Linked DNA regions of Saccharomyces cerevisiae S288C. The gene in region 1 interacts genetically with each later gene. Each region holds a gene or a part of one and is shown in the gene's direction. Other genes may lie near its edges.

Region 1 (2,645 bases):
TCTCAATAATTTCATCGAAACTGTAGATTTTTATGTCCGGTCTAACTTCCTTGATTTTGTCAACAGCATCCTTGGCAGCCTTGTAAAGCTTACCATTTTGTCTTTTGTCACTTGGATCGATGGGTTCGTTGTGAATGACGAATTTTACGTTCTTGGCGGTTTTCAAAGGAACTGCTAATTTGGACAACAGCTGGTTGTCCGTGAAAATGGCGACGGAATCTGTTTCCACCATGGAGTGAATCAAACCGCTCTCACCCAAAGTGTCGTACGCGGTGACCACAGGAATACCTTGTGACATGCAACCAAGAAAAGTTTTCATCCACTTGTGAGAAGTAGAGGCAAAGATGTGGAACTTGTTCTCACCGTTAGGTTTAACACCAATCTTTATCAGCCCACGTCCAATGTCGTGCATTACGCAGATCATCTCCTCGTATGTCATGGTTATGTAGGGAGTCAGTTCGTAGTACAACCATGTTTTTTCGATGGGCTTATCCTTACCATCCACCCTCTTGACTATGGTTTTTTTCGTCTCATGTATATCTATAATATCTCTCCATGCCATACCGTCTCTCTTACCACCCTTGGTAAAACATTCCAGGGCGAATTCGTACAGTGTAGATGCTGAGGAGTTTATGGGTCTAATCAAAGGCTGGTCTTTAACCCTGATATTTCTTCTTGGAGCGGTTTCATGCTCATTGGCGGCTTCGCCAACTGCAACGGAATATTGTTCGGTCATTTTGATGCGTACTTCTTAGTTTTTCAAGAAATAGTGAAGAACAGAGAAAAAAATGATGTGTTACTAATGCTGGTTCTTTTGTATTCTCGCTTTTATGTCAACTCAGAGGGGTTGCAAACAAAAGAAAGAATGATCAGTTATTGTCTATCTGTTGAGCCTTATCTGAAAGAGGTAGAACAAAAGATGGGCTGTTTTTGTTGGGGTAAAGCGGCGCCGCGAATGTTCTTAATGAGGTGAAAAGAATGCAGAAGAGAAAGATGAGGGCTAAGAGTAGAAAGAACGAGATGAACGAAGGCCGAGAAACACCCAGAATAGAAAAATAGATCGCCGACAATCGAGGGTTCTTAATTGATGGGGACATCGTTGGAGCTTATATAAGTTTGCCGCTACTTGGCGAAGATGGTTGAGCTGGGCGGTTCGGTTTGCGCTTTTGTCTTTCTTGTTACTAAGTATGATTGTTTTTTGTTGGGAAACGGCAAAGACGCGCAGCCAAAAAGCCGAACAGTTTAGTGAGTCTCTTCTTTAAGCGCCCAACACGCTCCATCGTGTTGGATAAAGCGTATGCAACAATTATTTCGGCATCGAACCCGCGGAATAAGCATCGGCTCGGGAGATATTTTTGTTTAGTTGGTATTGTTATCGTGTATAAATTTCTGTCCCTGTGCATTGTGATGTAAATGGCCTATTGTATTGTCAGGTCCCTGTCCGTTCCTTGATGGTATATTGGCACCTGAGCAAATCCAACAAAACCGGGCTCGCCCGCGCGGAAGAAAGTGCGATTGACGATTGTAGCTGAGCTGAACAAAAGAGACGGACATGTGAAACGGTGCTGCGGTGGTAGGTGCTGCTTTGTAGAATGGGGGAGAAGATTCGCCTACATACATACATACATACATACATAGACGGGTACTATTGTAGCGCTGCGCAGGAACATAGATACACGAATATACAGAAAGGAATAGTAGTAATATAGCGATGGGCTTATTTTCATTTGATGGTGGCAAAAAGGAATCACAACCCCCTAATACCCGTTCACAGAGAAAGTTGTGCTGGGAGTCCAGGGACGCATTCTTCCAGTGTTTGGACAAGGCAGACATCTTGGACGCAATGGACCCCAAGAATAGCAAGAGTATAAAGTCGCACTGCAAGGTGGAAAATGAAAAATTTGAGGAGAATTGCGCCCATAGCTGGATCAAGTACTTCAAGGAGAAGAGGGTCATCGACTTTAAGAGAGAGCAGACCATCAAGAGAATCGAGCAGGAAGCTAAACAGAGGGAACGAAATCAGTGAGTTTTTAGTGAGTTATTGGCTCATATTAACATATATATTCCCATAAAACATTTGACAGAAAGGTAATAATTAAAGGATAGTCATGTAGATACAAACGAAAATTTTATGTTTTTTTCTTCGTTTTGCGAAAATTCGCATGAGTGTCTCTGTATATATATATAACAAAAAGATGAAAAAAGGGAAGGTAGAAAAAACCGCGCTAAGTTTTGGCAGTGACGGTGACTGTCTTGTACTTGGTCTCGGTGACCGTTGTGGTAATAACGTCTAGCGGATTCAGTTCTCTCTTGCCTTTAGAAGATGAGCCGCTACCAACATCAAAAACTTCGATGTTGGCCTTGGCGCCGTTTCTGGCGGTGACAACACAAAAGTTTCCACCACCAGCCCCGGAAGAACCACCGCCAGAACTTGTCACTTCGTTGACTCCATTAGAACTTGGGTCAATGGAGCATGGTAGGCCTTCACATTGTGATTCGTCATCACAAGTAATTCTAATACCGAATGAAGGCTTAACGTTCTTGAACGGACATGACGATTCCAGGTAGACGGGGTTCCATCCAATCTTTACAAAAGTGTTCTGGTTGTCGTCCATGTTGGAACCAGCTACAAATGGGGCCCAGTT
Region 2 (2,564 bases), on another chromosome or scaffold:
GGACACGGAAACTCAACTCATTATAGTATCCTCTGTTGAGGTAAAAAAGAGAAAGGGTATCGTAATCCTTTCTATTGAATTTCAAAGTATGCACTTGAAACAACGTGTAGACCATCACGTGGTTTGTTTGAAGGGATTGGTCCGCCCTGGAAATCTGGTTCGTCTTCAACAAACGTCAGGAACTTTTGTACATTTTTCCCGACCATGACGGAAATGACAATTTTTTCAAAAGACCTTTTCCTATCCATTGCACCAGTTCTGAATTTTACCACTTTGATTAGGCCAGACTTTTCGTCTTCGTAGAATGACCGCACTTCCGTGGGGATCGATTCAAATAAAGTTATTGAGGGACAATGTACCAAGTCGTTTTTGTTATTTAGAGCCGACTCAAACTCGTCAAAGTTTGCTTTTTCAAACTTACGCCTATCGGAAACTTTCATTTTATTTTTGTAAGTTTCGAAATTAACAATAGTATGTTGATTGTTATGCTTTTTGACAAGAAATCCATCAATATAAACAAAAGATTCTCCAGTTTCCGTCTTATCATCATCTAAGAATGTAATAATTAAGCTATTGAGAAGATGCAGAATCTGCGCTATGCAGGTGCAGCAAAAGCAAACAAAATCTCACTAAGATAAGCGACTGTCTGTCCCCTTCAAGCACAACATAGAAAACAGAAGGATGTCTCATTCATCGCTTGATTTCCGGCCTGCAAAAATAAAGTAGTCGGTACGTACGTTCGTTTTCAATTTCCATGGTGCACAGTATCTTAACTATCTGCTTAGTCGAGGAGAACCAGGATTCTGTTCGTTGCTCAGCCGCTTCGTGGATATTCTCTTGGATACTTTAAACATGGACCTACGCTTAGCCTGCGCTTAGCCTACAACTTCTTCCGCTCTCGAAAAGACCAATATAATAAAAAGTTATAAATTACATTTCCTTATTAGGTATACGACCTCGCGCTTCGAAGTAAAGGAGCCCTTTTTGGCGTACCTACATATGGCGCGTCAGACAGACAACCTTCCCTCAAAATGTATTACCCCGCCGAATAAGAAAACAGACCCATTCACCAACGACGTATCAAGTTACTTCCTTGGTTTGCAATGTCCCACTATAAAAAAATTCCTTAACGCTAGATCTTTGGGCTAAAATCTGCGTCAAACAGGAAATATTGCCTATTTTCGTACAAGGTTACTTCCTAGATGCTATATGTCCCTACGGCCTTGTCTAACACCATCCAGCATGCAATAAGGTGACATAGATATGCTATCCTAATCTAACCCTCGCCAACCTGTCTCCAAACTTACCCTCCATTACCCTACTGTCCACTCGTTACCCTGTCCCATTCAACCATACCACCCCAACCACCATCCATCCCTCTACTTCCTACCACCAACCCACCGTCCACCATAACCGTTACCCTCCAATTACCCATATCCAACTCCACCACCACTTACCCTACCATTACCCTACCATCCACCATGTCCTACTCACTATACTGTTGTTCTACCACCATATTGAAACGTTAACAAATGATCGTAAATAATACACACGTGCTTACCCTACCACTCCAATCCCACCACCACATGCCATACTCACCCTCACTTGTATACTGATATGGCATACGCACACGGATGCTACTACAGTATACCACTCTCAAACTTACCCTACTCTCACATTCCACTCCATGGCCCATCTCTCACTAAATCAGTACAAATGCACTCACATCATTATGCACGGCACTTGCCTCAGCGGTTTATACCCTGTGCCATTTACCCATAAAGCCCACGATTATCCACATTTTAATATCTATATCTCATTCGGCGGCCCCAAATATTGTATAACTGCCCTTAATACATACGTTATACCACTTTTTCACCATCTACTATCCACTCAATTTATATACACTTATGTCAATATTACAAAAAAATCACCACTAAAATCACCTAAACATAAAAATATTCTATCCTTCAACGATAATACATAAACACACTCAATTACGTATCAATACCACCATGACGTCATTAACGTATAAGTTCCTTAATATTACCATTGCTTGAACGGATGCCATTTCAGAATATTTCGTACTTACACAGACCATACATTAGAATAATATGCCACATCACTGTCGTAACACTCTCCCACAAGGATAACCATTTTGCACAGGGTGGCTTTGCATCTCATATTCGAGTCCATGAGCATTTTTTTATTCGCACTCCATAAAATATTTCAAGTCCATTGGCAGCACCTTTGCTGTGCGGTGGTATCACTGTGTTTTCACCATTATCGAGAAATGACTGTGGTGCAGGTAAAAAGGTGTGCTAATCGTCTCTGCGGTTTGGGGCACATAGGTATTGTATGGGCCAAAGCTATGTAAGCTGAACTGTATGTCTTCTCACGTGGCCAGTCGAAAAAGAAGGGCTCTTAAAAGCTCACCGCGTCAGAAGATGAAAAGTGGCCAAGAAGTACTTCAATACGTCGAATCTATTTGTCGTTTGTTCATCCTCGTTAACGTCAACAAGCACATACTCACACGGGTGCTCCATTATACTTTCACTCCCATA
Region 3 (2,518 bases), on another chromosome or scaffold:
TTACTACAATTCCTGAGTTTGAAGCAAAGATTGATACTCTAGCATATAAGGAGAAAAGAAGGCACCGCTTAGAAAGGATGACTAGCAATACTAGTGAAAGCATGACTACCGCGTCACATAGCCTTATAGGCCCGGATCTCTCTAGTCCTTTATCAACGGGAATAAGAATAGAAGCTATTCATAATGAGGCTAAGCAAACTTGTAGCGATATTTTAAATTACTACGCGAGAAGATTGGCAACTAAAATAGTTAGGATTAGTATTGAGATGGTAAAAGAAAATTCAACAAGATCAGCCATAATATCTGCGACCTCTCTGTATAGGCCAAGTTTGCAAGTAATCAGCACCGTTAGTGCCAACATTCAAATCAAGTTTAGAAATGGAAAAGTGAAACTACCATTTTTTTTAATGAAACACTTTGCAATGCCAGCATTTGTTGTCCCATTCGAATTCATCAAGCCTGAGCTTTTAATAAAACCTAGAGTGGATAAAGATGAACAGGACAACAGCGATGATTTGAAAACGGAAGTGAGAAAAAAGGAACGATTGCAATGGCTAAGTGCATTAATCAGGAGAACTTTGGAAAACCCTTTCACAAAACATAAAGTGGTTGATTCGGATGATGAAGAAAGCGATAGTGATGAGTCAGTAACCTCTGTAAATGAGTACTTCCCAATCTCACCTGAAAAAAAGGAAGAAATGGAATTCTTCGATAAGATGGGATATGTTAGACCAAAACCGTCGAGACAAGTACTATTGGATGATAACACTCTTATGAAGTACGACAGTTCTGGCCGAAAGCTAACTCCTATAGAATCGAGAAATTCGAGGCGCAGCTCAAAGCGGAGTTCAAGAATACAATTCAACAATAACGGCATTTATAAAGTAAAGTCCATGGTTGATGACATTTACAACCACGAAACTGCCTCTACGCCTCATATCAAGACAGCACTAAAATGGGACAATGAGGATCCGAAAATGAAGTTCACTTCACATCCAATGAGAAAAACAAAATCCGCAGGGCTATCACCCAGAACATCCTCCACTTCATCTTCTTCAGGACAGAGAAAAGCGCATCACCACCACCATCACCACAACCACGTTTCAAGGACGAAAACTACCGAAAGCACCAAATCAGGCAACAGCAAAAAGGACAGTTCCTCATCCTCAACAAACGACCATCAATTTAAAAGGTCTGAAAAGAAGAAAAAAAGTAAATTTGGCTCGATCTTCAAAAAAGTTTTCGGATGAACCGGATTAATACAAGTAAAATCAGCAAAGATATAGAAGACAAAATAAGCGTGAAAACAATCATAAACCACTCACAACGGGGGTTTTCAGCTGTTACTCCTCCATACATACATTTTGATAAAGATATAATGTTATATTTCTTTTCGTAATTTTGTTTTACTTCGGTTTGCTCTATAGATTTCATCAGCCGCACCGAAAAGGGAGATCAATAAGGTACCCTTTAAAAGGGATAAGAAGCCTACATCACCCCAATAAATGGAGTAATGGCCAGCATTGGATGAAGAGAAGAATTACGGGATACTGGGATAACACTGTTAAAAATGCTTCGCGACGTGAGGGTCTTCTTCATATAAATTGAACTGCCAAATCTCTTTCACATTATCCAGGATAGTTTGGAATGTGTGTTACTGAAGGATCAGAATCAATAAATACAATCAATACAAATATTTAGCGCATAAAATTCAAACAAAGTTTACTGAAATGAAGTTAGATTCAGGAATATACTCAGAGGCACAAAGAGTTGTGAGAACTCCAAAGTTTAGATATATTATGTTAGGGCTGGTGGGCGCTGCTGTGGTACCGACCGCATACATGAGGAGAGGCTATACGGTTCCTGCACATAGCTTAGACAACATCAACGGCGTAGACACAACTAAGGCGTCTGTTATGGGTACAGAACAGAGAGCAGCTATGACGAAGGGTAAGAGTTTACAAGAGATGATGGATGATGATGAAGTAACGTATTTGATGTTCTCTTCAATCATGTAAGGGAATTTGTACTTGGTTCCCTGCATTTATGTTCTTTGCATTTTGTTTTCGCATTTAATCATAGTACGACAAACGGGGAAGGGGATTGTGATTTTACATAAGGCCCCTCCCATCATTGAGAAGGTTATTAATCAATACATATATAAGCATTTTCTTTTATACATTAATTGAACTGATATTTATTTTATGACGCAATAAAGCCTCTAATGCACTGCTATTATTGTTACTGTTAGTAAATATTCAACTAGCATAAATGATTGATGAGGGGATTCATTGCAAATCATTGGTGAGTTCCCTTTACATACTAAAGCGCGGGTAACCGTTACTTCTTTTATTTTTAATCTAATGGAAAGGCGAATAAGCTACTGCCCTATAATACTAAACTTGAAAAGAAGTTGCGTTTGCAACCGACTATAGCGCTCAAGGATATACAAAAATAACTACTGTATTTGATATAGCACGGAAACAATGACAAAAGATTTTTACCGTCAGCTAGATCC

Evidence for each region.
Region 2: mutations in COA6 (region 1) and YER188C-A together harm fitness more than expected from each alone (negative genetic interaction), as found in Saccharomyces cerevisiae (one large-scale study listed by BioGRID).
Region 3: mutations in COA6 (region 1) and SPG1 together harm fitness more than expected from each alone (negative genetic interaction), as found in Saccharomyces cerevisiae (one large-scale study listed by BioGRID).

What each region holds. Positions count from the first base shown.
Region 1 is NC_001145.3:757,898-760,542, reverse strand, and holds COA6 (Coa6p), read left to right. Parts: upstream 1-1,711; coding exon 1,712-2,026; downstream 2,027-2,645. Other genes in the region: long-chain fatty acid-CoA ligase FAA4, read right to left, coding at 1-736; YMR244W (uncharacterized protein), read right to left, coding at 2,226-2,645. UniProt on the Saccharomyces cerevisiae protein: Involved in the maturation of the mitochondrial respiratory chain complex IV subunit MT-CO2/COX2. Thereby, may regulate early steps of complex IV assembly.
Region 2 is NC_001137.3:569,031-571,594, reverse strand, and holds YER188C-A (uncharacterized protein), read left to right. Parts: upstream 1-1,687; coding exon 1,688-1,987; downstream 1,988-2,564. Other genes in the region: YRF1-2 (Y' element ATP-dependent helicase protein 1 copy 2), read right to left, coding at 1-115; YER189W (uncharacterized protein), read right to left, coding at 72-440.
Region 3 is NC_001139.9:962,030-964,547, reverse strand, and holds SPG1 (Spg1p), read left to right. Parts: upstream 1-1,730; coding exon 1,731-2,018; downstream 2,019-2,518. Other genes in the region: YGR237C (uncharacterized protein), read left to right, coding at 1-1,250; MIC26 (Mic26p), read left to right, coding at 2,487-2,518.